Linked DNA regions of Arabidopsis thaliana. The protein of the gene in region 3 interacts with the protein of the main gene of each other region in a pairwise test. Each region holds a gene or a part of one and is shown on either strand. Other genes may lie near its edges. The genes, in order: NAC088, SMZ and AT5G10570.

Region 1 (9,270 bases), 2.7 Mb from region 3:
AACTTCATTGTTACATATTATATTATATTATATAGACTATATATATTTTATTAAACCATTATAATAGAAGAAAAACAAAAACCAAAAGTGAAGAGTGCAGGGGAAGGTGTGAAAAAGGAGAGAAGAAACGCGCTATAGTCCACGGCTTTTATTAATTAGGTTTTGTCAGTGACACATTTACTTTACGTTACAGTTCATTAAAAAAAAATCTACCCATTTTGTTGACAAAGATGTCCACTTTATTAAAAAGAGAAAAAATCAATCAGTTAGCATTTCATAATGTTATATGAATACGCATCTAACGCTATGTTACGTTCTTACTATTTGTGATGATTGACTATTATATTGTCGGTCCACTTTTCTTTTCACATGGGAATTCCTGAATTTTGTTTATGATGGATATAATTTTTAATTATTAGCTATTATAAATACTTAGCTCTTTGATGTTTCCTTATTTATCATCATCTATAGTTTTCCATTATTTTCAATCAATGAGTCTATACTAATAAATGGAAACAGTTCAGTGTTTACATTTGAGGATGACTTTGGTATTATAGGATATCTTAAACTAGTAATATCTCCATATATAATCCATGCAAATTCTACATTTGATTTTAGAAGATATAAACTCTAAAATTATTTATTGGTCCAAACTGAAACCAGACGTTTGAGTTGCAGGAGCCTGGCCTCGTGGAGTGATATACGGTCAGAATTCAGAAATAAACAAGTCTTGACTTTTCTTTGTCGTTGACCTAGTTGCTATTTTCCCAATGGGAAAATTAGAAAATGAATCACTCCTATAGTCCTATTCAATCCATTTGTTTATGATCCTCGTAATTTTAAATATCGAATATTAATCTACAAGCCATAAATCATTTGACCAAATCGTAGCCATTTTATTTTCTGTAACTAAACCATGGCTATTGACTTTGGAAAAAATACTACATCTATTAGTTTAAAAATCTAAACAACTCATTTTCAAGATTTGGGAAGAAAAAAAACATGAGCTTTACATTGTCTACCATAATTAAAATGGTAATAGAAAAATTCTATTTCTAGTTTTTCAATATATGGTGAATCTTTCAGAGCACTATAAATTAAATATTTGGATACCATTACTTCTTTTCCCGTAAATTGTAGCTACTGAATGATAAAGCTATTCACCATTTGAGTAACTGACTCTCTTTAGTAAAAAGTATTTATAGATTTATGGTTTGCATTTAGATTAATTAAACGCACGCGTTAAAAAAAAAAAAAAAGAAGCGTGAGCCAAACGATTGAAGAAAAGTTTAGCTAATTTAGCCAAATAGTAATGAAAATGTTTCAGTTACAAAATAAAAAATGGCTTTACATTTATTGACAAAGCAAAACAAAAAGAATATGGGGGTTACATTTGAAAAAGTAGCTTTATTGTTTATGGGTTGTCTCTAGAAAAATGATAGTCTATGTGTAATAAATTAAGTGGTTGGCGTAAGCTTGACGATGACGGTGAAGAAGTTGGGAGTTTTTGGGAGATTCACAGTCAAAGTTCACATTTTTAAAAGTTCCTTTTTGCTGCCAATCCATACCTCAACCAACAACAAATTTGTCAGTTGTGTGCATTTATCTGTCGGTTTAAAATGGTTTTGCATAGACTATATAATAACAAAAGTTGAAGCTACTATATTTTTTATGTTATAAAACTTTATCCTATAAATATTGAAATGAAATACAAGTAATGAAACTTGCAAGTAATAAAGAAATATAAAGCTTTCCTGCTCACCTTATATTAATTTATAACGTTAAATATTTATACCATTTTTGAATTGCATCAGCGATTAATAGGGAAACAATCAAACAAAGAAGAGAGTAAGACTGAAAACTACAACTAAAAACAACAAAACAACAAAACATACCACAAGAAAAACATAATCAATGTTAAGTTATATTATATATGGTTCAACTTTTCTTTCTCAATCTTGACAAAATTGACCATACGTATTTTCCCTTAGAGCATCTACAACAATGGGATCCATATTTTACAATAAAAAATTTACAAATAGACATTTGAACTAGATTTATATTTGACATTGTCCAATGATGGGATCCAAATATAGAGGATCTAAAATTTTAAATGTTTGAAAAATGTGTCTAAGGTATGTGTGTTTGTGTGTCCAAAGAAGCGTCCAAAAGAGTGACTAAATGTCCAAAAATAGATCTGTATCTAAGGTTTTTTCTTCAATTTTGATTTAATTTTTAGATCTTTGATGTTTAGGACATCCTATTCCAACAAAATCTGAAGACCGACGCTAAAAACCCTAAACAGACTTATATTTCATATGTGTAGGTGACAGTGACAGACCGTATTCCTCAAAACGTGGAAAGATTCTTCCGTTTGTGAGATTCGATCTAATATTTCTTTAAAAATATATATATTACTACAATATGTTCAGAAGAAGAAGAATCCTCTACAATCAATTCATACAAAAATATAGGAAATCAAATAGCAATATCGTTTTTTTTTTTTCATCTTTTATAGATTGACTAAATAGAGCAAGAAAACTAGCAAACTTCCTTTTTTGTTGATATATACTACGTACAAAAGATAAGTTCTTATCATAAAAGTTTGTTGAAACATGTTTACCTCTTCTACTCTAGGGTTTGGATTTAGAGTTTAGATACAAGCTTTATTTCATATATTTCTCAAGAAAATATTAATATCTCATTATATTTTCATACATTATATGAATAATACGTACTGTCTTCCTCGGAAAAAAAAGGAAACCATTATTGTTATCTATGAAAAAAGTAACATGCGAAGAGCTGCAAAGCTCCTCATAAAAAACTTGAATAATCTTTAATTAAATAAACAAGAAAACATTGAGACTCTCAGATCCTTGACTTATAATGTGTATACTAATAAAGATATAAGAATACGGGAGAATCTTCAAACGAAACACAACGAAATAAAATGATGATGAGTAACGTAACTACCTTTAGAAAAAAAAAAAAAAAAAAGAAGTCATCGTTTTCCATAATCATCATATTTTTGAGGGATATTCACCAAACAGAATCATGGTCCTTTAAGGTGGCAGAGACGTTGGTTTTGATTGCCAATGGAAGAATACTCCCTCATGGTCCAACCACTCGTTTTGCTCTCATCACCTTCAACGTAGAACCTGAGATTCCTCTTCTTCCCGATCACTTCACCGGTTTTCTTCGACACGACATCTTTTAACTCTCCAGTGGCTTTCCAACCTTTAACTTTGCGATTTGTCCTTTTCACGAAATAAAACCACTCGTTAGGTTCAAAGATATCATTCTCTGTGTGATTAAGCCGCCACGGCTCTTTGGCGTAGATGTTGTCCCTGTCTTCTAACAAATATATCGTGTTTGGTTGGTGGAAGCCAAGCTTTGGTAGAAGATAATCGAGTATGAGTTCTTCTTCTGAAGGATTAAATCTAAAGCAACCAAGCTCTTCCTCTTCATCGTAAAATTCTTCAGTCATCGGCATCATCTTCTTCTTCTGAAATTTCCTCGAGTCAAATGAGAGAGAATTAATTATGAACCTCCTCTAATGAGGTTTATATAAAGTGGAGTATGATTGAGAACCGACTATTGAATATTATCTAATTTGGATTAGTTTTGGATATATATAAATATACAAAAAGGAAAGTTTACAAGTTTTTCATGTTATTTTTATAAAAATAAATCCAATAGGCACAGGGCTATACCAAACGAATAATAATGATGTCAAAAAAATAAACGAATAATAGTTAATAATTTTTCAAAAAACTAAAGACATTTATTTTGTGGCCCAATAATTCCAAACACATCAATTTGAAAAAAAAAATTATGTAGAGGAGATACAAAAGGAAAACAAAAAAATTTGTATGGTTTCGCACTGGGCTGGGCCTATCTAGAGTCCAATAGTCAGCAATGGTTTGGTTAACCTTTCTTTCTTAACCTTGGCTAAACAGACCACAAGTTTGGGTTCTAAGGTTAGATAACAATAAAATCTCAGGGCCGACCCCTGATACTTATGCTCATAAGCATATCCTAATTCTTTTAGCTAATATCGTTTAACGAATTTATGCTAATAATAACATGCGATCTCATTACTTGAATATCAAGAAATGCAACAAACTCTCTCTTTTTCGTCCCAAGAGGGGGTCTTGGCCTCTTGGGTATACTTTCTGCAGAACCATAAATTATGTTTCTCGTTTAGGTTCTGTCCTTTTTTTTTCTTTTTTTATAATATCTTGACTATATACCAGCCTATGTATATCATTTTTTTTTACTCTAATATATACTGGAAAAAGGAAAGAAAAAAGGTTTTTGTTTGTGCTCAATTCCTATAAGTTAATTTTTACATGTATCTGTTCTCAATAGTGTCTACATTCATTTGATCATTATAATTTGTACACTAGTACACTAAAAAGGAAAAAGAAAAAAAGCAGTATAGACTTTCCATAGTCAGAGCTCACCAAAAAGGAACCATGGTCATTTGAGGTGGCAGAGAATATGGAAATGAACTCATTACATATTTTGTACAACAAACCCATTTTGGAATTAAACAGGCCCTCTATGTTAATCAGAGCATAAGGATTTCATCTTTTTCTCTACAAACTTTTCAATTATCTTTTTCTAAGAGTTACAAAAGTATATTTGTTTTCTATATAAATTTGGGATAGTCTATCTACATTTCTACAAAATTCAGCTAACCGTTAGGTGAGTCACTCATAGTCATACATATCTTCCTTCTATATAAAAAAAGAATATTAGTTTTGAGTGGACTGATAAATATATTCTTTTCAACAAGAAGAAAACAATCTTCTTAAACCCAAACGTTCAAGAAAAAGAAAAAAAAACGATACTTACGATGAGTGCGGTAAAATCGGCGTTAGGTGATATGGTGATAACCTTTTTGTGGGTTATTCTCTCGGCGACGTTTGGGATACAGACGGCGGCGATTGTTTCCGCCGTAGGGTTTCATGGTATCACTTGGGCTCCTCTTGTGATCTCAACGTTGGTTGTTTTTGTCTCCATCTCGATTTTTACGGTTATTGGAAACGTTCTTGGTGGTGCTAGCTTCAATCCTTGTGGAAACGCAGCGTTTTATACCGCCGGTGTTTCCAGTGATTCTCTCTTCTCCTTGGCCATTAGATCTCCTGCTCAGGTGTGTGTTTATGATCTAAGCTAGCTTTTGAAACCAAACCAACTTCTTCTTCTTGTTCTTTATTTTGTTCTGAACAGAAAGATTTTTGTTCATATACTTGTGACATCTTTTCATATGAGTATTTGCTTTTGTGTCTTGTCTCTTCGAATAAGAATCTATTAAAGTTTTATCCTTACACATTGTTTATGAATTTCTTTACATTTATTTTGTTGTTAGAGCAATGTATTTTCTTTGTTTGTTGGATCTATGTGAAGTTTATTGTGTGTGGTCCATGTGTGTTTTTGAATAACGTACAAACTTTTTTAATTGGAGATTTTGGCCCAAGTACCCACTGGCATATTTGTTTCCATATGTAATGTAACCTTTTATATATCTTAGGCAATTGGTGCGGCAGGCGGTGCGATAACGATCATGGAGATGATACCGGAAAAGTATAAGACTAGGATTGGAGGAAAGCCTTCATTGCAATTTGGTGCACACAATGGAGCTATTTCTGAAGTGGTCCTAAGTTTTAGTGTTACATTTTTGGTTTTACTAATTATCCTAAGAGGTCCTCGAAAACTGCTCGCGAAAACGTTCTTGCTCGCACTCGCTACCGTATCGGTGTTTGTCGTAGGTTCTAAATTCACTAGACCATTCATGAATCCTGCCATTGTAAGTTCATACTCGTCCTACTCAAGAATTGTTAATTCATTTTTATTACATTTTGAAATGAATCTTGATATATAGTCTTGTGGTATATATTGTGATGCAGGCGTTTGGGTGGGCATATATCTACAAGTCTCACAACACATGGGACCATTTTTATGTGTATTGGATCAGCTCCTACACCGGAGCTATTTTATCTGCGATGCTCTTTAGAATTATATTTCCGGCTCCACCTCTGGTTCAGAAAAAACAGAAGAAAGCTTGAGAAAAAAATGGAAAAATCTAAGTAAAAATTTCATGAATCATAATCCCATTTGTTGTATGTTTTATGCTGTTGTCGTATTTGTACTTAATTTATAGTTTATAGCCCAAAAAAAAAATTCGTTTCTTTTTAAAATTTATGGATTCACATTTTCTCGGTTAGTGCGTAATCTACAAATTCACTCTCGTCCGGTTGAGTAGTATTGGTTAAGTTCGGTACGTGAAGGAGAGTCAGGGTGGGTTAATCCGGTTAAGGTTCATGTTTTCGATTTACAACTTCTATTAACCAGAGTACTCAAACCGAATTTCATACAGCTCAGGTTTATATGGTTTTGATATCCACTTAGCTTTGATTTTTATCAAATTATACCAAGTTCGATTCAACCAAGTTTCACTATCACAAAATTGCAAAAAAAATAAATATAAAAAGTAAACAGTCAAATTAAAAATCTCATGAAAAATTAGGAGTTGTTAGTGAAAATATTAGTGATAATCCCTTCGTTTCAATTTATTTATAATTTAAGAATTTTGCATACACATAAAAAGTTAAGACACTACATAAATTATGTAAATTGTTTATCTTTTTTATACTATAACGTCATTTTTTATTTAAAATAATATATGCAACCAATAACAAAATATTCTGCATAATACCAATATAATCAAAAGAAATAAATAATCATAAATTTTTGCAAAAAAATATTAATGAATAGCATTTATTTTTCAACAAAAACTTTAAAATACAAATAAATTAAAACAGAGGAAGTACTTAATTAAATATTTTGGTATTTATTACTACTGTTTAATTTCAATATAAAAAAAAATCAACTTTAACTAATTTATGCGTAAGCTCATTGTGAGAGTTAAACATAGTTGGGAGTTACCCATCTCCCGCAATCGTAACCCATAACGTCTTTTGTTTGCATCCATCGCTCTCTCATACAAAATTCAGATCTGAAGCACACACAAGCTTCGGATTCCAGATCAAATCCGGCGATTCAAGCCGCTTTCCCAAATTCACCGTCGATCTGGAGCCGTTACAGGATCCGCCGCAGACCACGGCGTCCTCCGGTACCGGCAACGGCAACGGTAAGATACGCTACCGTTCGCCTTCTTCCACTGAGCTCCTGGAGTCTGGTAACCATTCTCCTACATCCGACTCTGTTGACGGAGGTAAGATGACGGCGAAGCGTGGGATTGGACGGCACGAATCTCTTGCTGACAAGATCCAACGCCATCGTGGGATTATACTTGTGATTTCGGTTCCCATTGTGTTGATCGGTCTCGTTCTTCTGCTAATGCCTGGGAGATCGATTTCTGATTCCGTCGTTGAAGAGTATTCTGTGCATAATCGCAAAGGAGGTCCTAATTCGAGAGGTCCGAAGAATTACGCTGTGATTTTTGATGCTGGAAGTTCTGGTAGCCGTGTACATGTTTACTGTTTTGATCAGAATTTGGATCTTATTCCTCTTGGGAATGAACTTGAGCTCTTCTTACAGGTGATACATTGGTTTCGTTTTTTTCTCCTCTTTCTGGATCATAATCTATGGCTTAATAAGTGCTTGATAGATCTTTGTGTCATTCCCGAGATTTGATTCATTGCTTATGGTGATTTGTGGTACATTTGTGTTATTTTATGTTAATATGGTTGTTTGTGTGTGGAAAGGCTTGCACTGTGTAGCTTACTTGCTAGAGCTTGGTGAAGAAGCTTGCATCTCCCAACGGATCGAATAGGGCTAATATGACTTTGTTTGAGATACAATGAAACTTTATCTCCTGATGCGACGATCTTTAAAAACTGAAATTATGTGAAATTTGCCATTAGAACGCATTTCGAAAACGATTAGAAGAAGATTATTCGTTTGGATGATGAAGGATTTTTAATATTTGATCCTCCTCTAGATTTGATCATGGTAATATCTCTTGCCCTGAGGTAAAGCTCAATAGGATAAACGGGAAGCTTAGAACTTTGCTTTCAATGTATATTATTGACTTGTGCTCTGTGTTCCTGGAATTCTAAGATAAAACTTGAACTCACCTCGCTTGCATCATTTAGTTACTAGTTTCATCACATTGCGGTGGCTTGAATTTCTTGTTTAATTTGCAGTTTAGTGGTGCTTCTTGGAACTTTATCTCTAAGCTATTTACTGATTTGATTTCAGCTAAAACCAGGGTTGAGCGCATATCCTACTGATCCCCGACAAGCAGCAAACTCTTTGGTGTCTCTTCTTGACAAAGCAGAAGCTTCTGTTCCCCGTGAGCTGCGTCCAAAGACACATGTCAGAGTTGGGGTATGGAAACGAATTCTTTCCTTACGTAGAATAATTGAAGCTATCTTGTATTATCGTTGTTTTTTTGTGAATCAATTGAAATGTTTTTCTTCTCTAAATCTTGTCAGGCTACTGCAGGTTTGAGGACGCTGGGTCATGATGCATCTGAGAACATTTTGCAAGCGGTAATTTTATATCCATAAATTTTTCATGCACATTCGCCAGGTCACTTAGCTCTTATACTGTATTATACTTTTGTTTATAAGGTTAGGGAACTCCTGAGAGATAGAAGCATGCTGAAAACTGAGGCAAATGCTGTTACTGTACTGGATGGTACCCAGGAAGGTTCTTATCAGTGGGTATGTTGTCCCACATTTGTTCGTGTCTTATATGAAATCATCTTGCTGTATTTCTCATGTGTCTGCGTTTATGCCTTTATATTCATCGTCTCCATTCGGAGAAGTAAATTCTGGACTGGTATCCTTTCTAGTTTCTTAATTATTCAATAAGAAGTGTTTCACTATGGCAATTGTAATAGTTCAAAGTCTAGTATGTAAAATAGTATTAAAACTCAAGCTGTTGGACTCTCACCAACCTCTAATCAAGCTGACATTTTGTCTTAATGGGCTTTAACTTTGCAGGTAACAATTAACTACTTGCTAAGGAACTTGGGAAAACCATACTCAGATACGGTAGGAGTGGTTGATCTTGGAGGGGGGTCTGTTCAAATGGCATATGCTATATCTGAGGAAGATGCTGCAAGTGCACCAAAACCATTAGAAGGAGAGGATTCATATGTCAGAGAGATGTATCTGAAGGGACGGAAGTATTTCCTCTATGTTCACAGGTTTGTCACCTCTTACGTCTCTCAAAGAGCGAGGCAGTTTTAGGCTATTCTATGTCATCTGTATATCTTCTAGACACTGTACTAGT
Region 2 (11,667 bases), on a different chromosome or scaffold from region 3:
AGTGGTAAAATGAAATTCAAACTTCTAAAATGCAACATAAATGAAGACAATAAACATCCTAATCACAACATAGGTGACTTGTGCTTGAACAAAAAAAAATCAAATTTTTGTTAGTACCCTGCGGCAAACTACGAAAAAGTTTGTGATGCAGCCCTCAAGCAAATGATCACCATCGTTTGACAAAAGAAGTTCAGTGGTCAAAGGAGGTCTAAACTTCTCCAGAGGCTTCCTAAGCCTGCCTAAATCATAAACCATACCGAGATTAAGAAAGAAACAACAAAACTCAAGTAATCCACAAGCTAAATCCCTGAAAAATTGAGCTATCAGTATCCTCAAGAATCAGCTAAATGAGCACAACAAGCACAATACCTAACCCAGTCTGAGTATTTAGCAGCAGCTACATCTCGTCCACGACCAACCAAAGCCAAACTCGCGGCATTTTCTCCAACACCTAACGGGCCTAAAGGCGAGTATGCACCTATATGCAACCACACATCTAGAAAATCCCAATTGTTCCCAACATCTAACCTATTCAATTTCTCCACATTACCAGTAACAAGAACAGTTACTGCTAATTCTTCTCCATAGAGTCTTTCACTTTCCTTGACAACAACAGACTTCAGGGCCTCGCTCATAGAGCCATTGACTCGATCGTAAATACTCGAACCAGGAACTGGTTGATTCATCCAAAACCGCGGTGATGACCCAGAACTGAACAAAAGCTCGGGATTTGACTTCAAAAGAATACGAATCGAGCTAGAAAGTCTCTTCATGTGTCTCTCCCAGAACAAGAAACTAGTACCATTGTTTATCGTTCTCGTCGTTGTATAAGCACCTGTAGATAGATTTCTCAAAACTTATTAATCAAAAAGTTTCAAACTTTTGCAGTCTATTTAGTTTTGATTGCATACCCGTGTGCGATTCAAGGAAGGTAGTGACCGGAGGAGCCTCCAAAACGACACCGTTGTGGTAGAGAAATCTGCAATTCGACATTTTTGCTTCTCTCTTCCTTGAGGAAATTAGATAAAACGGGAAAAGAGAACGTTTTTAAAAAGGAATAATCCCCAAAACGACGCCGTTTAATAGACATAATTAGGGTTTAAGCTTCTTTTTTTTTTTTTTTGGTGTATCTTCGGGATTTCAAGTTGTCTCTTTTATTTATTTCTCCGATCATCTTTTCTCTGCTGAAGATAGTTGAGAGAAGAACCTCGAAAGATGAGATCTTTATTGGTTTTTAGAAAAATCCCTTCACGGATTCGTCTTCGTAACTTGAGAAACAATAAACCCTTTTGTTCACAGTCTCAGTTTCCCAAAGAATCTGAGAATCCAAGTCAAGAGCAGAGACTACTAGTTTACGGATCCACTTCTGAAGAAAACCCAGTTACCTCCAAAGTGAGTCTTTTGTCTGCGAAGCCTGAACAGAAGGACGATGCATCTGTAATCGATGTTCTTCTCAATCGCAGGAACAACCCAGAAGCTGCTCTTCGTTTCTATAATTGGGCTAGACCATGGCGTGGAAGTTTTGAAGATGGTGACGTCTTCTGGGTACTCATTCATATTCTGGTCAGTTCTCCTGAGACCTATGGACGTGCAAGTGATTTGCTCATACGGTACGTTTCTACGAGCAATCCAACTCCAATGGCAAGTGTTTTGGTCAGTAAATTGGTGGATTCGGCGAAATCATTTGGGTTTGAAGTCAATTCACGAGCTTTTAATTACTTATTGAATGCTTATTCTAAAGATAGGCAAACGGATCATGCGGTGGATATCGTCAACCAGATGTTGGAACTAGATGTGATTCCATTTTTTCCATATGTGAATAGGACCTTGAGTGCTTTAGTTCAAAGGAATTCGTTAACTGAAGCTAAGGAACTCTACAGTAGGATGGTTGCCATTGGTGTTGATGGTGATAATGTAACAACGCAATTGTTAATGAGAGCTAGTTTGAGAGAAGAAAAGCCTGCGGAGGCTTTGGAGGTTTTAAGTAGAGCTATTGAGAGAGGAGCAGAACCGGATAGTTTACTGTATAGTCTTGCTGTTCAGGCTTGTTGCAAGACGCTTGATTTGGCTATGGCTAATAGTTTATTGAGAGAGATGAAGGAGAAGAAGTTGTGTGTCCCGTCGCAGGAAACTTATACTTCTGTGATTTTGGCTTCTGTGAAGCAAGGTAATATGGATGATGCAATTAGATTGAAGGATGAGATGTTGAGTGATGGGATATCGATGAATGTAGTTGCTGCGACGAGTCTGATCACGGGACACTGCAAGAACAATGACTTGGTTAGTGCTTTGGTTTTGTTTGATAAGATGGAAAAGGAAGGCCCCTCTCCGAACAGCGTTACTTTTTCGGTTCTGATAGAATGGTTTCGTAAGAACGGGGAAATGGAAAAGGCGCTTGAATTTTACAAGAAAATGGAAGTCTTAGGTCTTACTCCTTCTGTCTTTCATGTCCACACGATAATTCAAGGGTGGTTGAAAGGTCAGAAACATGAAGAGGCACTGAAACTCTTTGACGAGTCTTTTGAAACCGGTCTTGCAAACGTGTTTGTATGTAACACTATATTATCCTGGTTATGCAAGCAAGGTAAGACAGACGAAGCTACAGAGTTATTAAGCAAGATGGAAAGTAGAGGTATTGGACCGAATGTAGTTTCTTACAATAACGTGATGCTTGGCCACTGCAGACAGAAAAACATGGACTTGGCTCGTATTGTTTTTTCAAATATACTGGAAAAGGGTCTAAAGCCGAATAACTACACGTATTCCATTCTGATTGATGGATGTTTCAGGAATCATGATGAACAAAACGCTTTGGAAGTCGTCAATCATATGACTTCTTCCAATATTGAAGTCAACGGGGTTGTATACCAAACAATTATCAATGGTTTATGCAAAGTTGGTCAGACATCCAAAGCAAGAGAATTGTTGGCAAATATGATCGAAGAAAAACGGTTATGTGTTAGTTGCATGAGTTACAATAGCATTATAGATGGATTTTTCAAAGAGGGTGAAATGGATTCTGCGGTTGCAGCATACGAAGAGATGTGTGGCAATGGTATTTCTCCAAACGTCATAACTTATACCAGCTTGATGAATGGGTTATGCAAAAATAACAGAATGGATCAAGCATTGGAAATGAGAGACGAAATGAAGAACAAAGGTGTCAAACTCGATATTCCAGCCTATGGTGCTCTTATCGATGGGTTCTGCAAAAGGAGTAACATGGAAAGCGCATCTGCTCTGTTCTCTGAACTCCTTGAAGAAGGATTGAATCCAAGCCAACCTATATACAACAGCTTGATTTCTGGATTTCGTAATCTGGGAAACATGGTAGCAGCCCTTGATTTGTACAAGAAAATGTTGAAAGACGGTCTACGATGTGATCTGGGTACATATACAACACTGATTGATGGATTGTTGAAAGATGGAAATTTGATCCTGGCCTCTGAGTTGTACACAGAAATGCAGGCGGTGGGTCTTGTCCCTGATGAAATCATTTACACAGTAATTGTAAACGGTCTTAGCAAGAAGGGGCAGTTTGTAAAAGTGGTTAAGATGTTTGAGGAGATGAAGAAGAATAATGTCACTCCGAATGTCCTTATCTACAACGCGGTGATTGCCGGACATTATAGAGAAGGAAATCTCGATGAGGCTTTTAGACTTCACGATGAGATGCTTGACAAGGGTATTTTACCCGATGGTGCTACATTTGATATTCTAGTTAGTGGGCAAGTCGGAAACCTCCAACCTGTACGTGCAGCAAGTTTGTAGTCTGCCAAAACCAGACCACATTATTGACTGATGACTTAGCTTTGGCTTTTCGTGAGACCCCGATAATATGACTGCTTAAGGTGTGCACTTTTCATTTTGCACGGTTGTAGTATAAATGTTGTTATTCATGAAAGAGGGAGACTCTATAGACTTTCTGTAAAGAAACTAAGAAGGGCCTTCTGTTTTTGTCAATTTTATAAAACATAGAACGAATTCAAACCAGAATAATTTGACTCTGTATTCTTATACTGAGCTTCTTTATTTCCCAACTGAAACCAGGTTCCAGTTTTTCAAGGTCTTCTGAGGCATCTATGTTGGTGGGTGATGAAACCAGTGCACTGAGTCCTTATTAAACTCTTCATATGATTCTTCTAGCATATCGTCTGCTCGAGTAAGGCTACTCCATGTGAACTGGAACAGGAAAACACAAAGCCCTTTTGAAATCTGCCAGATTCAAAACCCAGAAAGGAACCTGCAACTGACACAGAGAATAATATCCACCGGTTAGCCTGCGAGGTTATAGTTATCGGAACCGTTAAGTTACAAGATTCGGATTATCTTTTTATTTGTCTGTCTTTTGCCTGCTTCTGAGATCAACTTTGCTCATAAATGATGGTTTTGGGTTAATCAGTTTATAGCTTGGTCTAAGACTCTTAGTTGCTACTGCCCACTGGTGGTGATGTGCTTTTAGCTTTTTTATGTGCAAATTCTTCGTGATGATAACCACGTTTGGTATATAATTCGAGTTGAAGTTAGAACAAACACTTCCAATATTTCTCACTCATTAAGGAAAGAATCAAATTTTATCCTTGTATACAATAATCAGATAGAGTAAAAATATATATTAGTTAAGAGAGTGTAGAACGATCCTATGGATCAAAACAATTGGACATGGAGGAAGAGGAACTTGTCATGCTGATAAAAGGGAATCCTGATGATGCTGCAACTGTCTTCAGAGGTTTCATGGTTGCCATGGGTAAAAATATCGATGATTGCTTACCGTATAAACCCATCGTGGACCGATTGATACCCTTATAGTAATCGCCTGTTGTCAACTTTATACTTTCCGATGATGATGAAATTCCGAGACTTAGTTCAAGATCATTGTGACCATTTCCTATAAAAATGACAATGTTAATGGATAAGTTGCTCAAATGGAGAGTGCTAAAAATTTTATGAAAAGGTTAGCTAGCTTCCTTGATCAGATTTAAAGTATATGTAAAATTTGTGGTTAGTGTTATATATAGATTGGCAATGTTCACTTAAATTTATCAACCATGCCTTATAATAAACTTAGTTACATTCTGAGTCACACCATATTAATCAATTACCTTTGATATGGGCACCAAACTTCATGGCTCCTTCTCCCTTTCCCAACTCATTGTATTTTATTGCTGCTGCATCCCATCCCCTACGAATTTTGCACATACGTATAAACATTTCTAAGTTTATTCACAGCATAACACTAACTCTTGTTTCATTTTTTTTTTTTAACAATGGTATTCTGTGAAGCATTTACAACGAAACATAAAAGGTAAACTTAAGAAACCATCATCCCCGACAGTATCAAACTCTTGAAACGGACGATGGTTTCAAGCTTGCACCTAAATGGAAACAAACGTAACGTTGGCTTGGTATAGTTTGAGGGGGATATATAAGTAAAAGTATTTGAAAATTGCCATTCACTTAGAAAATTAAATTTGAGTAGAAAATTTTGTACCTTCACGAAGTTTTTTTTTTTTTTTTACTACTTAGTTTTGATTAATTGTATATATATGGACTAATTGATGTATATATGATTGAACTGGATAAAAGTTATTCTTTCTTTTAGTAGTATATAAAAATAAATATTATTAATTAGCTAGCTAGTTTATAACTTTTTTTCAGCAAACTTTAAAATTGTGTAAGACGACAATAACTTTTCCAAAAAGTGAAGGTTAGGCTTTGAATGGTAAAGCACTAGCTAGATGAATAGATAGAATAAAAATAAATTGAATATAGGTGAAATATAGTTAAGATAAGTGACGGATTTATAATATTGTCATCCATGATCCGCCAAGTGAAATGTATTTTCCATGATGTAGATTGTGTAAATAGTAAAATTAGGCCATTTCATCAAAAAGTAGGGAATATTTCAACCATATTTTATTCATACTAATAAGACTAACTATTTGCACTTTAAACTTGTCAAAAGATTACGTGTCTAACAAAATGGTACCTGTTTTGGAAGAGATGAATCTGATCATGAGTTTTGAATTGGGTGCATTTTTGAAGAGCCAAGCCTTTGTATTTGGAACTTCCTCTTCCGAAACTCGCACTCTCTCGCCTAAGTGTTTGCACGAACTCCACCTTATTTAAATTCTTCATCTATACATAAATTGATAATTTTAAAGATCCACATGTATTATTTCGAACTATACAGGGAAATGAATCATCTTCATAACGTAATATATATATATATATATATATATATATATATATATATATATATATGTTTAACCTTATCGATGTCATGCCTATAATCATCCACGACGAAATTGATGTCTGCATCGAGACCACGGAATTTGATAGCAGCTCGGTCGTAAGCCCTGGTATTCATTTATGAATAAGTCAAATTGATATTAATTATTTATTGTCTTCAACAAACTCTAATGTGTATATGTTGACAAAATTAAAACATATTCAAATGACGAATGTTGTAACAAATAATGTGTATATATATATATATTTTACCTTGCTGCTGCGTAAGCAGTATCAAACCCGCCTGTTAAAACGAAAATTAAGTCAAGGAAAAAAAGTTAGATTAATACAAATAATCAACTTGTGTTCACTTAAACGTGAAAGACAGAAGTAACAAACATAGGTAAATGAGCTGTAATAGTCTATTATGTTTTTTTGTCTTTTTACAAAAAAAAAACATACATCCTTTAAAAAAAAAAGAATAGAGGTAGTTGACAAAAAATAAACTTTTTTAACAGACGTTGTCAGAGAAGATCTACAAATCAAAATTATCACAAAAATACGATTGTTTTAAAATTCATCGTTTATGCCTAAAAATAGACACACACGTAATTAAAGATGACCCAATAATTAAATAAAAATCTGATCTACTTACCCAAATAAACTTGCTTTCCACAATCCCTACAAATTAATCAATTCCAAACCCAAAATTAGAGATAAATATAGCAATAATTCAACAAATAACAATATAAAAATGCAATGATAATATTAAAAATGAAATATAATTTGATTTACCAAATATGAGATTCCCAACGACCGGTGCGACGGTAAAAAGTGACGCCACGATATTGGGAGCTACGAGACCTTGGTCCTCTTCTGCTCTTCTTCACCATTTTCTGTGTATTTCTTTGTAAAGAAGAAAGATTCAACCAGTGACTGTCTTCCACGGAGAATTCTATATTCCGACGAGCATCAGCCACCACCGGAAAGAGATCTCCTGTTTCTTTATGAGGAGGAGGAGGAGGAGGAGGAACAAGGTCATCGTCGCGTTTGAGAATTCCAAAAGCGATGAAAGCATCTCTCGCTGCAGAGTCTGTTGTGGAGGAGGAAGATGAGTTAGATTCTTCTTCACCGGTGGTTGAGATCATTAATGGTACTTTCCGATCTTGATCTTCGTTATAAGAAGAAAAGATCTTTAGGTTAAGATCCAACATGATCGAATCTTTAGCTATAAACGACGTTGTTCTTTTTTCCGGCGAGAGAGAGAGGGAGAGAGAAAAAAGAGAGAGGATAAGTGTCAAAAACGAGAGAGAGAGAGAGTTCTAAAAGAGGGAAGAAAAAAAAGAACGTGGGACGTGTTCACTGTGAAGGTTGCATTGGATACACTTGCCCTTTATTTGCCTTTTCAACTCTTTTTTTTTATATATAAAATTGATTTCTATAATTATATGATTGTACTTGCCTTGCCGATGTATCGAATAAACATATTTTGTACTATATATTAGTTTTCATTTTTGTTAATTAAATATGGGAGAGCCGTAGATAGGGTTGTACGATGAGTTTTTATATATTAACACTTTTGATGTTGTAAACTCAACCGCGTTAATACGATGTAATAACAAAAACAAAAGTTTTCTCTTCCTTTTAAGTGAAGTCGACCTGTAATTTTAAAATAGTAAACAAAACTAATGCCATCAAATAGGTGAGGAGAGTAAAGTATAAAGATACTAGCTTATACTATTACTTATGTTCTTTAGCCTTCTACTTGGTAAAGAGACCTCGTGAATATAATATGATAGATTATTTTTCCCTCGTAAAATACAGCTACTTGATTTATCTAATGATACATCTTTTGATCAAGTCATCGACAAGTTTAACAAAATAGATAACATCATAAAGAGTTTAAGAATTTTTTTTTAATGTTGTTTTAGTATTAAGATCAAAACCAAAAGTCAAACCTTAAAGGACGTATTATATTGTGATTGGTTGAAGAGTAAGTAGTTTTTAATTTCTATGCATTATATCAAAAAACAAGCGTTATTACTTTTATTTTTCAAACCAAAGCATTCTAATTTGATATAGTTTAATGCCGAAGAAATTTGTTAATGCATGCTCGAATGTGGAATTGTCTGTAAGATTATAAATTTGTTCTTAATTGACAAGTGTACGTTATTAGGCCTAGTGTGACCACAAACAAAATATAATTGAAAATAAGATAGCCCCATCAATTATAAAAGTACTAAAAAGTCAATATCTGAAATTTTCAACAACCTAAATCTAGCAATATTAGGAATTTGCCGACTTTTACAAATTTTCAATTTATCCTTAATTAGCAACAGATTATATAGCGATTATCGATGCGATTATGTTTGTTATTGGTAACACAATTTCTCAGCAAAATTTAGAATTTTGAGGAATAATGAGCCGTTGTTGTCAATTTTTTTTTATTTTAAATGTTATTTCTTAATCATTACTTATTTTTATCCTTCCTTACATAAAATGACCTAAATATCTTTGATTTTCGGAAAACGTAAGTTAATGATGAGAATGAATAGTAGATGGGTAAAATCCAATAAATAATTTTTTTATTTTTTTTGGTAAGGATAAATAAATTTTTATATTATATCTGAATTTGTAATTTCTTCTAACATGTTAGTAAATTATACGATTAAAAAAGAAAATATGAAACACAATTCAACATAGTTATTTCACATTTTAAAGCATTCAACAACAAAATTAACCGGTTAACATCGTCTACTCTCTGCATTTTAGTAATAAAATTAGGTCATTATTTTTCGATAAAATTCATTAAATTTGGCATTTAGCGACAACAATTATTGATAGGTCCCTCGTGTGATTCCAACGTGTCAAGATATGAAAAAAAATCTAACGGTCAGGGATTTTTTGGTACTTCGCGTCGCAATGGTATCTTCTCAACGTGTTAAATAAACCCACATGTGATTTTGTTTCTCTATGCGTCATTTAACGAATCAGGACAATCCTTTCTCTATCTTTTTTTCTTTTTCTTTTCTTTATTTTGCCAAAGGACAACCCTTTTCCATTTAAATTAAAGATTACGATATATGGATAAAACATAGCAACGAAAAATTAGAGAGACCGACAGATTTTTTTTGTTAGTTTTATATTATATTTTATTTATCACACATTTTAGAAGAAATTAAACCTAGTTGTTGTGCTTTCGCATCCCAATATACATAAATCACAATCAACTGAGATTTCGTAAGAGTTGATTTAGGTTATGGTTTAATCTATAAGAAGGAGATACCATTTGCATTTCATCTTTATACTGAAATATTGGTGAAGAAAAGGAGTTTCAAATGGACTGTCATAAATTTAAATAAACCATTTAAAATATTTTAACTATCCTTCTTTAACACATTCATCCTCAAGCCTTTTTTTTCTTCTTCTTTATCACTAGTGGGATGGATCTTCAATTCCAAATTATTGGAGGAACAAGAAAGATGATAATCTAGACCACAACATAAACTATACAATAAAATGATAAATGTGTTATAGTCAATGAATAAAGAATAAGAGAGATGGTGTGATGTTTACACGTTTGGGGCCTAAACCAAAAAAAAAGGATGGGTCCAATATGCCAACTACTACTATTGTATTGAGAGTAGGAAGAGAGAGAAACCTTAATGGAGACAGAGGGACAGTGGGGTTATGTCAATTGTCATATTATTCAACCACTCACCAATCACTCACTCCAAATCTATATCTCTCTTTTTACAAATAATTATGATAGATTTGATGATAAGTTGGTTCTCAAATCCCAGCCGTTCAATTTATCCAGATATGCAAGAAAATATTAGATTTTAAGGAATCGGCCTTTCCTTATTTGGTAAGACTAAATATCTCTGTTCATTCTAGTTCCAATAGGTAAAAGAGTAACCTTTTTTCTTACATTATTAATAACTTGCATTGCACAATAACGTATTACCCTATAATTCACAATGATAATGTGTTTTGAAGTCATCTACACACTTCAAAGTTTATTACTCAATCGAAAATTGAAATATTGTCTACCACTCAAATTTCTTGAAATGGTTAAAATACTTGAACGTGTACTATATGCAAAAATCTCTGATATTTAACTGCTTTGAAATTTTTATCAGAATATTACTAGTGATGGGTCAATTTCTTTGTTAACCTTGTGCTTTATGCACTTATGTTTATAGTCTCTATTTTCTACACCTAAACAACACAATCTATTTGTAGGTTGCAACTCGGACCCAAATTTTTTGCTAAATTTTTTGTTGAAGTCTTATATTAAGCTAGGATTGTGACTTAAAATATGAATAAAACTCATATTGTTGGCTTAAAAAACGAATTAGGATGTTTGTATTTAGTAGGAACATAGTGTTATGAAACCACATCTGATAAACACATGATTTTAAAGTGTTTTAAAAACTATTCTAGCTTCAAAACCAGTTTCTCATTCATCCCGAATCTTTTTTTCCATCACATATATAGTAAATTCATGATAGAATTTTAATTTAACCTAAATATATATAGTTCATAGTTGGTTATGTTCAATCGATTAGAAGGGTTCTGTTGGATCCGAATTCGAGACCTAGGAACTACACCATGATACATTTGGGGAAAATATGATATACGTTAGTAGGTCAAACACAAATATTATCTAAGATTAGCCTCCGGCCAGAAAATTATGGACTTTGTATGTGAGGGAGATTGAGAAGCGATTGCTAAGATTAATAAATATGGGGCTTGTTGGTAGAGTAGATCTATAAAAGGGGTGATAGAGAAACGAGTGGAAACGCATGAAGCACGTTATAAAATTGAATAATTGAAGATTCAACCATATTCTTTGATAATTGGTGGGCATTTTTATTTTATTATTTGTTGTCAAATCTCTATATAAAGAAAAAAAATTGTTTTAACGTTTTCGGTTTAATGTTTGACGCATATATGTGGGAACAGTTTTGGGCGACGTGGTAGCTTCCCCTCCTCGTTTCCCCCAAAAGCCAATGCTTAAAATGACGAGAATACCCTCTCCAAAAAACCATGTGCTCCTAAGTCCTGAACTAGTTCTGATTCTTTTCTTTTAGCTATATAGGGAAGTGAGACTTGCGAGGGTGAGTATGTGACATCAAAATGGAAAACACTAAGCTACATAACCGTTGGACTAAAATGGTAATAAAAAGAAGCAGAACAGAAGTAGGTGAATAAAACTGAGAATGGAAACAAGAAACAACTGAAGAAATCGGATTTATATACGTTTTTGATCATATTCTTTGGTTCAAACTCTATAAATAAGTTTCTTGGCTTCTTTCTTATAAGAAGAATCGACTACACTTTAAGTTAAAAGACCACAAGCAATACACAGTTACAAGAAGAAAGAAAAGTAGTTCCAAGTACTCTCTCTACTTTAAGTTATAAGATCACAAG
Region 3 (10,626 bases):
TAATTACTTTCGCTAATATGATGATTAATTAGTAATTACTACTTACTAGTTACTACAATCACTTAACACAAGATTTTTGAAAGATTATTTCGGGATATATATCGTTTTTGAGTAATATAACTACCTTCATGATGGCTGCTACCCAAGATCGACGGGCGCGGGAATTTGTACCAACAATGGTGCAGAAAGGATCGGTTCGAACCTTATACCACAAATAGATGTGGTAACCAAACATCATAAGTAAAGCACTTGGCACAAGAACCGCATCTAAGTACCATTTCTCCCACTCCATTTGATCTCTCCTTTTCTATGTATATAATCTTCTCTTTCTTTCTTGTTCTCGTTATCTCCAAAGCTCTCTAAGAATGTTTTTGTTATTTTTATGGCCCTTGTCCCCATATATTTATACTGAAACTCCTTTTGCTATTTACAATCTTTGTTCCGCAATTTGCCCCTTAGAATTTCATATAAATTCTTTTTGGTTGGTTTTCACTAATTTCATATAAATTAAATCTTAATGCTTTTCGTTTCTCCTTTAAATCTCTCTTTATGACTTATTAGTGTTCACTTCTGTACCCCACTTTGTGAGATAATTTAGAATTTACATTTCGACCCCATATTTATTTAGTTACTAAACATTTGGCCGTAATTTAAATTAAGGTTAATGACCACTTGTCCCCTTTTAGACACATTTTTTTGAATTTTGTCCCACATTGCCTGTATATTCGTACATGTGATATCTAATTGTCCGTATATGTAGATAAAGGAGACAAGACTTAGATTAGATGGTTTTGGAACATGTCACAGAGATGATAACAGAATATAACGTTTGTTTTTTGGTAAAAGGTGAAATTAAGAAATATAACGTTTGTTGTAGACGATGATGCTATGTACACATGTTACACTATGACCTAACTTATCTCCACGTCATTACGTTACTAGTCTTCTTCAGTCTAGTGCATTTCTTATTTTCTTTTATTTTTTGGCATACAAAAAGACATCCCAAGTCGAAAATGTTCATCGCTGAATATCAAACATCAATTTTCGTATTTATTGCTCACTGATGATTTTACATCGACTATGGTTTTAATCATGATCATCTAAAGGAAACGGGTTTACTCGAGCATAAAATTTGGTCATTTCTCCTTAGGATCCTAGATCTCGATCGATCGTGGAATAGGTGCACTAATATTTTTTTAATAAAACTAATGACAAAAATGATTAAATGAAAGAAATTAAAGTAACTTTTAAAGTTTCTTGAACATGAGTCAGACCCAATTGGCTAAAGGTTGGTTCATTTCTTGTAGTTAAAGAAAAATCGTGCTTGTTGAGATTAAACACCCTTTGTCCTTTCTACATATACGACTACTTTTATACCTTTTGCTCACACTATTTTTATGAAGATAACATAATATACATTAAATATCTACGGACTCTACAAATAGAGATGCGTTAACATGCAAATTCTCTATAAAATATGTGCATGCTTTATACCAAACACATAATAGTTATAAATATGTTGAGCTGAGAGATATGGACAAAACCACTTGAGTTTCAGGTTTAGCCTTAAAAGGTTTTAAAAACCAAGGAGCCGTAACGAAGTGTCTAAAAACCCTATCTGATTTTTGAATAAGACAGATCAAAAACGTAGTTGGAAGCGTAATTAATTAGAAACCGATTGTAAATTTGAATCTCTAAGAGTTCAATTCAACATCTATGTATACATGCAGTTTATTCGAGTTTGGTCTAGTGATTTTATTTGGGCTGCGGAAAACTTTTGCCAAAATACGCATCACAATTTATAAAACATGTGCATGCTTATTCGAATAAAGAAAGTAACCTACATGACCCCCAAAAATTCAGGGAATGTTCCAATAAATCTTGATGATTCTTCTTGATAAAATTGTAGTATATTTTAGTACTAGAAAACTAGGCACCCATTTTTAAAACCTGGCCAGAATAGATGCTCATGGATAGCTAGGCCTACTCATGGAGAAACAAATTATAAGATTGTGGAATAGTAGTATTGAACTATCTTGTAATTTTCCATGTGATAAAATACCTAACTGTATTTCTAAATGGGTGTAGTTTTTGTGATTCATGCATGAATCGACTTATCTATCGGATGCTTATAGTATATATATTCCGCACGCTATATCTGACGTTTTACTTTTAAAGTTATACAACTCTATTTAATAATCCACCAAGTACATACATTCCTTAAACCAGAATATATATATGTACATACAATTCATCATTTCATTTGTTTTGTTTTTAATTAAGACTCTCAGAATTTAACTCTTGAGTATTACAACACGGTCATGCTTGTTGTTGAAATTTTCTTTTATATATAATTTTGGTAAAAGAAATTAATATACAATATTTTTGTTGACGATACTAACAAACAAAATTAGACCCCAGTCAAGTTTATAGTCTAATTAATAATGAAATTGAATAAGTTTCTTATCGTGCCAATACTTAAATTTAACACATACGTAATTAAATACAGTATCTGCACTATAAGAAAAAACAACAATTAAAAACAGTATTCACGGCCTAAACCAATCGTTTAAAGATTTGTCTTCTTTGGGGACAAAGAAAAAGAGAGAGAGAGGGTGGTGGCTTCGTGCGACCCAATAACTAACTAACAACAACACTACGGCAAAGAAATGAAGCACTCACATGTCTTAATCTTTTACACGATTGCTTTAATTATGATTTATTAACTTATTAAACAGCTCATCTTATATGAGTATAATAACAAATAAGGAAGCTCTCGTCAGCAAATAGAAATTGTGAGGTCCACATTCGACCATATATTTTAGTGTATAAACTTCGAAACCTAACCTACTCGCACAAACCTCTAGTGCTCTAACCTACCCATATTTTTCCTTTTTAGTTAATTGTGCATACTTTTTGGGTTCACCGTTCATTTTAATAGAAAAATAATTACATTTTTGTCTTAAGATTGATTTGTTTCTATATGATTATTCACCTGCTTGCTTACAGATTACTATTAAAAATTCTATTTTACATTTGTATATGTAAGATGTGATTATTTTTATTTTGTCGGCGTAAAGAAGTGATTTAAGATTTGTGTGTTAAAAATGAAGACGAATGAAAGAGTCCTGTTTTATCTGCTATTTTGATCTGGTTTCTCGTTTATAATATTTTTAAATCAGAATAAATAGTTACAAAAACAAAAACAAATTGTGTCTTTATTATAAAGTTATGTTTTAAACTTAAAATAAAAATTTCTTTTGATAAGTGGACAAAATTTTAAAACTTGTTTTTTTTCTACCAAATGAATTAAGGTTTTCAGTGGCGGTGTCTTTATAAAAAAAAACTTTATCTTATTTTCTTTTTAGTCTACAGTCTTTACCTTTTTTTATTATATGAGTTTTGTATTATTTTAAGTTTGAATGGTGACAATAAAACTTTATTCAAAATTTACGCATAACCATATCAAACTATCAAACTATGTTTTATAAACCATTAAACATATAGAATATAGGATAAGTTAGGTATAAAAACAAATTTTGGATCAAAATAAATCCTCTGATAATCTTATTATGTTCAAGAATTACAACGACTGCGGTTAGACCTATAAAGTCCATTAATCTTTTTTCATGTCGAGTGACCCATCACTAGAAAGGCTTGAAATGGGCCTATGTGTAATCAACCCTTATGTAATTTCTTTTTTTTATAGGAATCAAGGGAAAATAAAATTTCTTTTTTTATAACATAACACGACGTTCTTACAGAAATTTGTCCCTTTTGAAAGATCTTATTTTCATAACACAATCGCCTGGTATGTTATGTAGGATTGTGCAGATACATTAGATATTTTCCTCTAATTAGTAAAATAGACATGTCATATCCATTAATATAATTTTTCATGTCCAGTAGACCAATGACAATAACTATAGACGGTAGAAATGGGCCTAGGTGCAATCGAAACCCTTCTTCTTTAGGAATCCGAAATAAACCGGACGAAACACAATCAGACAAGATCTGGTTTCTGTAAACACATCAGAATTGGGACGGATAAAGTGGAATAGCCATATAGATTGAAAGAATGTGCTTAAGACTACTAGACCAGCTTCAAAGACGATAAAATCTCAGCAAGTCTGAAGAGCAGAAGCATAATTTGATCTAGGAGCAGTTAAACACCTCTCATGTCATTGTTTTATTAACAAGTAGGTTGCCTGAATCACCGCTCCCATTACGAATCATATCATAATCATTCATAAAATCAAATAAAAACAAGCAGAGATTAAAACATGTGAGAACTATCTCAGCGTCCAATATCGAGGGAATCGATTTCGGACAGAACTGAGATAGATCTCCGATTGTGGTCTTTTTTATTTAGGGCGCTGCATTCATCTCTATGGCATCGTTATTTTGCTAAAGAGTCAAACTCCAGTCCCGATTGACATTAAAAAAACCACCAAAACACATAAACCATAAAAACAAATCGCAAGAAAAAAAATTAGCACAGAGATCTATCGAACTATATAGATTGATAATAAGCTTTGAGTGGCCGATTCTCGGATAACTTGATTAGGGTTCAAAGTTAGACGCAGCTATTTAAAGAGGAAACGGATGGAGCTCGTTAGGTCAAAAAGCTGGCAGAATTTTAGTGGACTTTATTTGGGCTTTAGTATAACAGGGCTTATTGGGCCCAAATGAAAACTCTTTTTAACATTTCTGCTCTCTCTATTTTGCATGTTTTATTAATGAGTCGGATTAGAAACCGAGGGGTCAGTCGAGGAGACTAATTGGTAAACATCAATGAGTTCTTTTTACACCTTTGATTTTCCCATTTATCTATCTCCTTATGAAATATCATACTCATCACAAGAGAATAAGAAGAACCGGAAAATATTATCATCATTAAAAAACATTGCAATTTTGAAGCTCCCCTACAGACATCTTCCTCCATAACCTGCGTTTCTGATTAGTGCTTGTTTAGTAGCTTCCGAAGTAACCATGTATCTCTGCTCACCAACCTACATATATACGAAAAAAACAGAATATAACAGAAAATAATTATAGAATATACATTTAATTTGTCGATGCACCAAGTAAGGCTAAATCAAAGTGTAATAATATTTGTACCTCAAAACAAGAAGCCTGCAATGAGAAGTCACTGAAGCAGCTAATGACACATTGTTCAATCTCTAATCCTAGAGTCTCCAATGTACTAACCGTTGATACAACCAAACCCGGTTTCGTAGGACAACATATATCAATATGCGTATTAACTTCCCTTTGATCTACTTCAAACTGCAAAAGATTCGTTTTCGTTATAGCCAGAAAAATTGTCTGCACCTTCAAGTGATTATAATTTTTTGAGTGATATCTAATGGGAATCAAATTGATTCAAGTATATGATGAGGGTGTTTGTAACAAATGATTTGTAATGGGATGAATTTGTAAAAACACAAGACTTATGAGTACTGAAGCACAAATACCATAATAACATTATGTTTTGTTTTTAGCTTTTACCTTTAGGGAGTTTCTGACCATAGATTCGTTTGTAATGAGGGTGCTTAGATGAGAGTTGCTTCCAAGTTCTTGTTCGTCTTCTTGCAACTTGTTAATCTTGTCCAAAAGCTCCTTCATGTAATCTATTGCATCTCCTAGTATCGATGTCCTATCCATCTGATTTTATTATATAATAATCATCAAAAATTATATACATTTTCTCATACAACAAACTCTATGCAGATTCACAAAAAGCAATAACCTTTTATCAGTGAACAGTGTACCAAAAAAAAGATTTCAACAAGAAGAAAACATACATGTAACGTTAAGAACTTAACAAAAAAGGAAGAATATTTCTTCTTGACTTAAAAATAAAAACCATATAACATGTGACAAGGATGAGGTTTATGGAATTTGACCTTGGTGATTTTAGGGACAATGGATCGGAGCAGGGAGAGTCGGTCATTTAACCGTTTCCTCCGCCGTCTCTCCGCCATAAGATTCTTCGAAGGCTGACCTTCAAGCTTCTTGTTACTCCTTTTCTTGTTAGTCTCTCCGATGCTTATGAAGCTCTTGCTTTCCTCCATCAATGGTGAGTAATTGTTGGTGTTCTCTTGCGAAGCCGGAAGGATCAATGGAGGAGGAGAATAAGAGGAGTGTATGATATCCTCGAGAAAAGGATAGTCGAAAGCGGAGGAGAGCGGCGGAGAATCATAAAGAGGTGACGACGGTTGTGGTGGTTGATGAAGCAATGGAGGTGGCTGAGAAATTAGATTCATCAAAGAAGAAGAAGAAGGATGATCAATGTTGTCGTCTTCTTGGAGAAGATTGTTGAAACAGAGGTAATCGAAGTTCCAATCATTTGGGACGAATTGGTCAATCGCCATGAATCCTCCATTAACGCCGTTGAGATTGTTGCTTTCTTGTTTTCTCAATTGCGTCAATTCCGTTTCCATCTCTCTTTCTCTCTATTTTCTGAAACTCTGTTATTTGTGAAAGTGGAAGTGAACAGAGTTTGTGAGCTTGGGGTCAAAGAAGATACAAATGCATGTAAATGCATTACATAAGTGTGAATTGTAATGAAGAATTCACTTTTTAACTGATTAGAATTACTTTATTCCATTTGACATATGTATATTTATGACTTGTTTGTTACATAAAAAGTGGATTTTAATAGTTAAAAATATATATACAAATAAGTAGTTTTGTCTAGTTGTTTAAGGAGAGATCCACTAGAAAACATTACAATTTAGTGTGTTTGTTTTTGATCCATGGTCCAGCACCAACCTATGAGGCATAAGCTGAGATTGATGAAATTTTTTTTTTACTTAATATCGTTTTCTTTTGTGTTGTTGTCTGAATCGTATTATTATTGATGGTTCGTTTTCAGTGACGATATTAAGTAATTTATACGTTCTCTTTGATCGGAAAAATGATCTGACCCACAAAGTATGTCCCGGCCAAAATGAATGAACATCATCATCTAGCTCTCTTCCTTAGTCAACTTATGTATATGATACGAATGGTATTTAATATTAGAAATATCAAATATGAATAATCAGATGCTTACAAAAGTAAGAGATAATGGTCTAGATTTCGAGATTGAGAAGCTGCCATCATATTTGCTTTTTTATTATTATTATTGGATAGGCTTTTGGCACTGAACGTTAATAACATGGAAAAATCTTGAATAGATATATATTATTGTGAGTTTTTGCCATTTCAAAAGTACTCGTATCCGACGATATCGATCAATTACGGGAAAAAATAAACACCCGTGTCTCTTCTAATAGACATAATTCCGCAAATTATTACATTGTGGTGTATCAGTGTATGATTGTATTAATATGGAAAAAGAAAAGACTGACAGGTCAAAGAGATCGAAGAAGGCTTAAGTCAAAGAAATTTGTTTCTTATATCAGAAGCGAGTTGCGTGAGAGTTTGTGGACACACACTGTCTCCTACTCTATCTTCACTCCATTATTTACTACTCAATCGGATATCATTATTGTCTGCATTATATAAGTTGCTTTTCTTTGACAATTCATTGTTTTCATTTCTCAACATTTAAATTGAAAATTAACAAAATTTCATATATTTAAATTTCTAAACTAATCATTCTTGGATACCCATTGACTTTTTTTAAAAAGTATGTGTTTATCCTAATAATTGTTGGTTTAACTAAAACCAGGGATCAACAGTTGGGTTGACAAAGGTTTAGTAAATAAAATAAAGTAACAACCATAAGAAAAAAATGACACAATTTTCAAGGTGAATGCATGCAAGCAGAAGCAGGGATAAGAAAAGATGAAACACGTGAATAAGCTTCAGCCATTATGTGCTATGTGACCATGACTAAGCCACTATGGATGCATATTTGAAAATTTTGGGGTTGTTAGTTAAGTTTCAATATTGGGTTTTGAGTTTTCGGTTCATTTATTTTAGAGAGTTTTACACCAAAGTAAATAATTCTGACTTTTAATATAACTACAATACATAAAATTTGGTGGTTTTAAAATTTTTGTTATTTACAATTAATATTTTTAAATCCTTGTGAATAAAAAATTTATATACAATTTTAAAATACTATCATTTTTAATTTTTTTAAAATAAAATTTAATGTTTTCTTTTGTCAACTAGCTAGAGACACTTGAAACCCACCCATTTGTAAAAGTAAAATTATTCAAGCATTAGTCTACAAAAATTGTAGACCTTGATTAGATAAAGCCCCAATTCATAAATGTTCACTGATCTTAATTAATTACTATAAATCGATTAGATAAAGGCCCATAATGATTTGGCCCCTCTACCGTCCGTCAAATGACAAGTAACAAGAAACAGCAGTGAACCAACCGGTCCAACTGTTAATTTAGATTTTACCGGTCTATTTAGTTCGGTTTAAAACTATACCTTTTAGTTTCCTTTTTCACTCTTCTCTACAGATTTATTTTCCTCCAAAATATGAATCTTCAGTTGACTCTAATCTCCTTACTCTTCTTCACTTCCGCCATAGCTGAAACCTTCAAAAACCTCGATTCTCATCCACAGTTCCCTTGTAAACCTCCTCATTTTAGCTCTTATCCCTTCTGCAATGTCTCTTTATCCATAAAACAACGAGCAATTTCTCTCGTCTCCCTCCTCATGCTCCCAGAGAAGATAGGTCAGCTCTCAAACACAGCTGCTTCAGTACCCCGTCTCGGTATTCCTCCGTACGAGTGGTGGTCGGAGTCTTTACACGGACTCGCCGATAACGGTCCCGGAGTTTCCTTCAACGGTTCGATCTCCGCCGCTACTAGTTTTCCTCAGGTAATCGTATCTGCTGCATCTTTCAATAGAACGCTATGGTACGAGATTGGATCTGCTGTTGCGGTGGAAGGTCGGGCTATGTACAACGGTGGTCAAGCTGGGTTGACGTTTTGGGCTCCGAATATAAATGTGTTTAGGGATCCGAGATGGGGAAGAGGACAGGAGACTCCTGGTGAGGATCCGAAGGTAGTTTCCGAGTATGGAGTTGAGTTCGTTAGAGGGTTTCAAGAGAAGAAGAAAAGGAAGGTTTTGAAAAGAAGATTTAGTGATGATGTTGATGATGATCGTCATGATGATGATGCTGATGGGAAGCTCATGTTATCTGCTTGTTGTAAGCATTTCACTGCCTATGATTTGGAAAAATGGGGGAATTTCACTAGATACGACTTCAATGCTGTGGTAAGACTAAGAACTCTTTTCTTCACTATGTGTAGCTTGTGTATCAACTTCAATTGGATTTTAATTGAGAACTCTCAGGTTTAGTGGATCAGGTTTGACCTAAAATAGAATTAAATCTATAGACTTTATTGAATGCACCTTTCTTTGGTGTTCATGAAACAGAATTTAACTAGTTATATTGCTTCTGGCTTTTGCATTATCTCCATGGTTCTGTGTCGAACACTGAGTCTAGCTTACTCTGTATTAGTAGGTCACAGAACAGGACATGGAAGACACATATCAGCCCCCATTTGAGACTTGTATAAGAGATGGTAAAGCTAGCTGCTTGATGTGTTCATATAATGCAGTTAATGGGGTCCCTGCTTGTGCGCAAGGAGACTTATTACAAAAAGCTCGAGTTGAGTGGGGATTTGAAGGGTAAGTGAATCTTCAACAGGGAAGGAGAGAAAAACCTGATTTTTGTTTGTGATGCTTTGGTTCGGCCAATGAAAGATTTACCGGGGAGTCTTTTTCTTGTATCTGTGCAGGTACATTACATCAGACTGTGATGCTGTGGCAACTATTTTTGCGTACCAAGGATATACCAAGTCACCTGAGGAAGCTGTTGCTGATGCCATAAAAGCAGGTCCTTTTGAGTTCTTTTAACACTTGTTAACTTGTAAATAGGTTGTCTTAAAATGAAATCTGAGATTGTGAATTCATAGGGGTGGATATAAATTGTGGAACATACATGCTTCGGCACACACAATCTGCGATTGAGCAGGGGAAGGTGAGCGAAGAACTAGTAGACCGAGCTCTGCTAAATCTCTTTGCTGTTCAACTTCGTCTTGGACTTTTTGATGGTGATCCAAGAAGAGGACAGTACGGAAAGTTAGGATCAAATGACATTTGTAGCTCAGACCACAGAAAATTGGCACTGGAAGCAACAAGACAGGGTATCGTGCTCCTGAAAAATGATCACAAGTTGTTGCCTTTGAACAAAAACCATGTTTCTTCATTAGCAATCGTTGGTCCAATGGCGAATAATATAAGCAATATGGGCGGTACTTATACAGGTTCGGACTATCTATCTTCTTGTTATTTTCAAGCAGGCTAAATTTTTCTCCTCGCTGAAACAGTTTATAAATGTCATATTTGTAAAGGAAAGCCGTGTCAACGAAAGACTTTGTTCACGGAACTTCTGGAGTATGTGAAGAAGACATCTTATGCGTCTGGTTGCTCAGACGTGTCTTGTGATTCTGATACCGGATTTGGAGAAGCTGTGGCCATCGCCAAGGGAGCGGATTTTGTCATAGTAGTTGCAGGATTAGATCTCTCTCAAGAAACCGAGGATAAGGATCGAGTTAGTCTTTCTTTGCCTGGTAAACAGAAAGATCTTGTGTCTCATGTTGCTGCTGTGAGCAAAAAACCGGTGATTCTTGTTCTAACCGG

The links.
Region 1: the proteins of AT5G10570 (region 3) and NAC088 interact in a two-hybrid assay, tested with the Arabidopsis thaliana proteins (one large-scale study listed by BioGRID).
Region 2: the proteins of AT5G10570 (region 3) and SMZ interact in a two-hybrid assay, tested with the Arabidopsis thaliana proteins (one large-scale study listed by BioGRID).

Annotation. Positions count from the first base shown.
Region 1 is NC_003076.8:6,051,999-6,061,268, reverse strand, and holds NAC088 (NAC domain containing protein 88), read right to left. Parts: upstream 3,497-9,270; coding exon 3,053-3,496; downstream 1-3,052. Other genes in the region: SIP1;2 (Aquaporin-like superfamily protein), read left to right, coding at 4,862-5,158, 5,537-5,812, 5,913-6,071; APY2 (apyrase 2), read left to right, coding at 7,246-7,566, 8,230-8,358, 8,466-8,522, 8,604-8,696, 8,979-9,184.
Region 2 is NC_003074.8:20,369,078-20,380,744, forward strand, and holds SMZ (Integrase-type DNA-binding superfamily protein), read right to left. Parts: upstream 7,446-11,667; coding exon 7,027-7,445; intron 6,913-7,026; coding exon 6,887-6,912; intron 6,536-6,886; coding exon 6,505-6,535; intron 6,360-6,504; coding exon 6,272-6,359; intron 6,139-6,271; coding exon 5,990-6,138; coding exon of another isoform or gene 5,959-5,989; intron 5,185-5,958; exon of another isoform or gene 5,183-5,184; coding exon 5,103-5,182; exon of another isoform or gene 4,889-5,102; coding exon 4,641-4,888; downstream 1-4,640. Other genes in the region: AT3G54970 (D-aminoacid aminotransferase-like PLP-dependent enzymes superfamily protein), read right to left, coding at 118-235, 370-835, 912-993; AT3G54980 (Pentatricopeptide repeat (PPR) superfamily protein), read left to right, coding at 1,216-3,771.
Region 3 is NC_003076.8:3,337,177-3,347,802, reverse strand, and holds AT5G10570 (basic helix-loop-helix (bHLH) DNA-binding superfamily protein), read right to left. Parts: upstream 6,604-10,626; 5' UTR 6,447-6,603; coding exon 5,910-6,446; intron 5,668-5,909; coding exon 5,512-5,667; intron 5,290-5,511; coding exon 5,122-5,289; intron 5,013-5,121; coding exon 4,926-5,012; 3' UTR 4,724-4,925; downstream 1-4,723. Other genes in the region: AT5G10580 (plant/protein (Protein of unknown function, DUF599)), read right to left, coding at 125-292; AT5G10560 (Glycosyl hydrolase family protein), read left to right, coding at 8,452-9,195, 9,446-9,612, 9,723-9,820, 9,900-10,250, 10,338-10,626.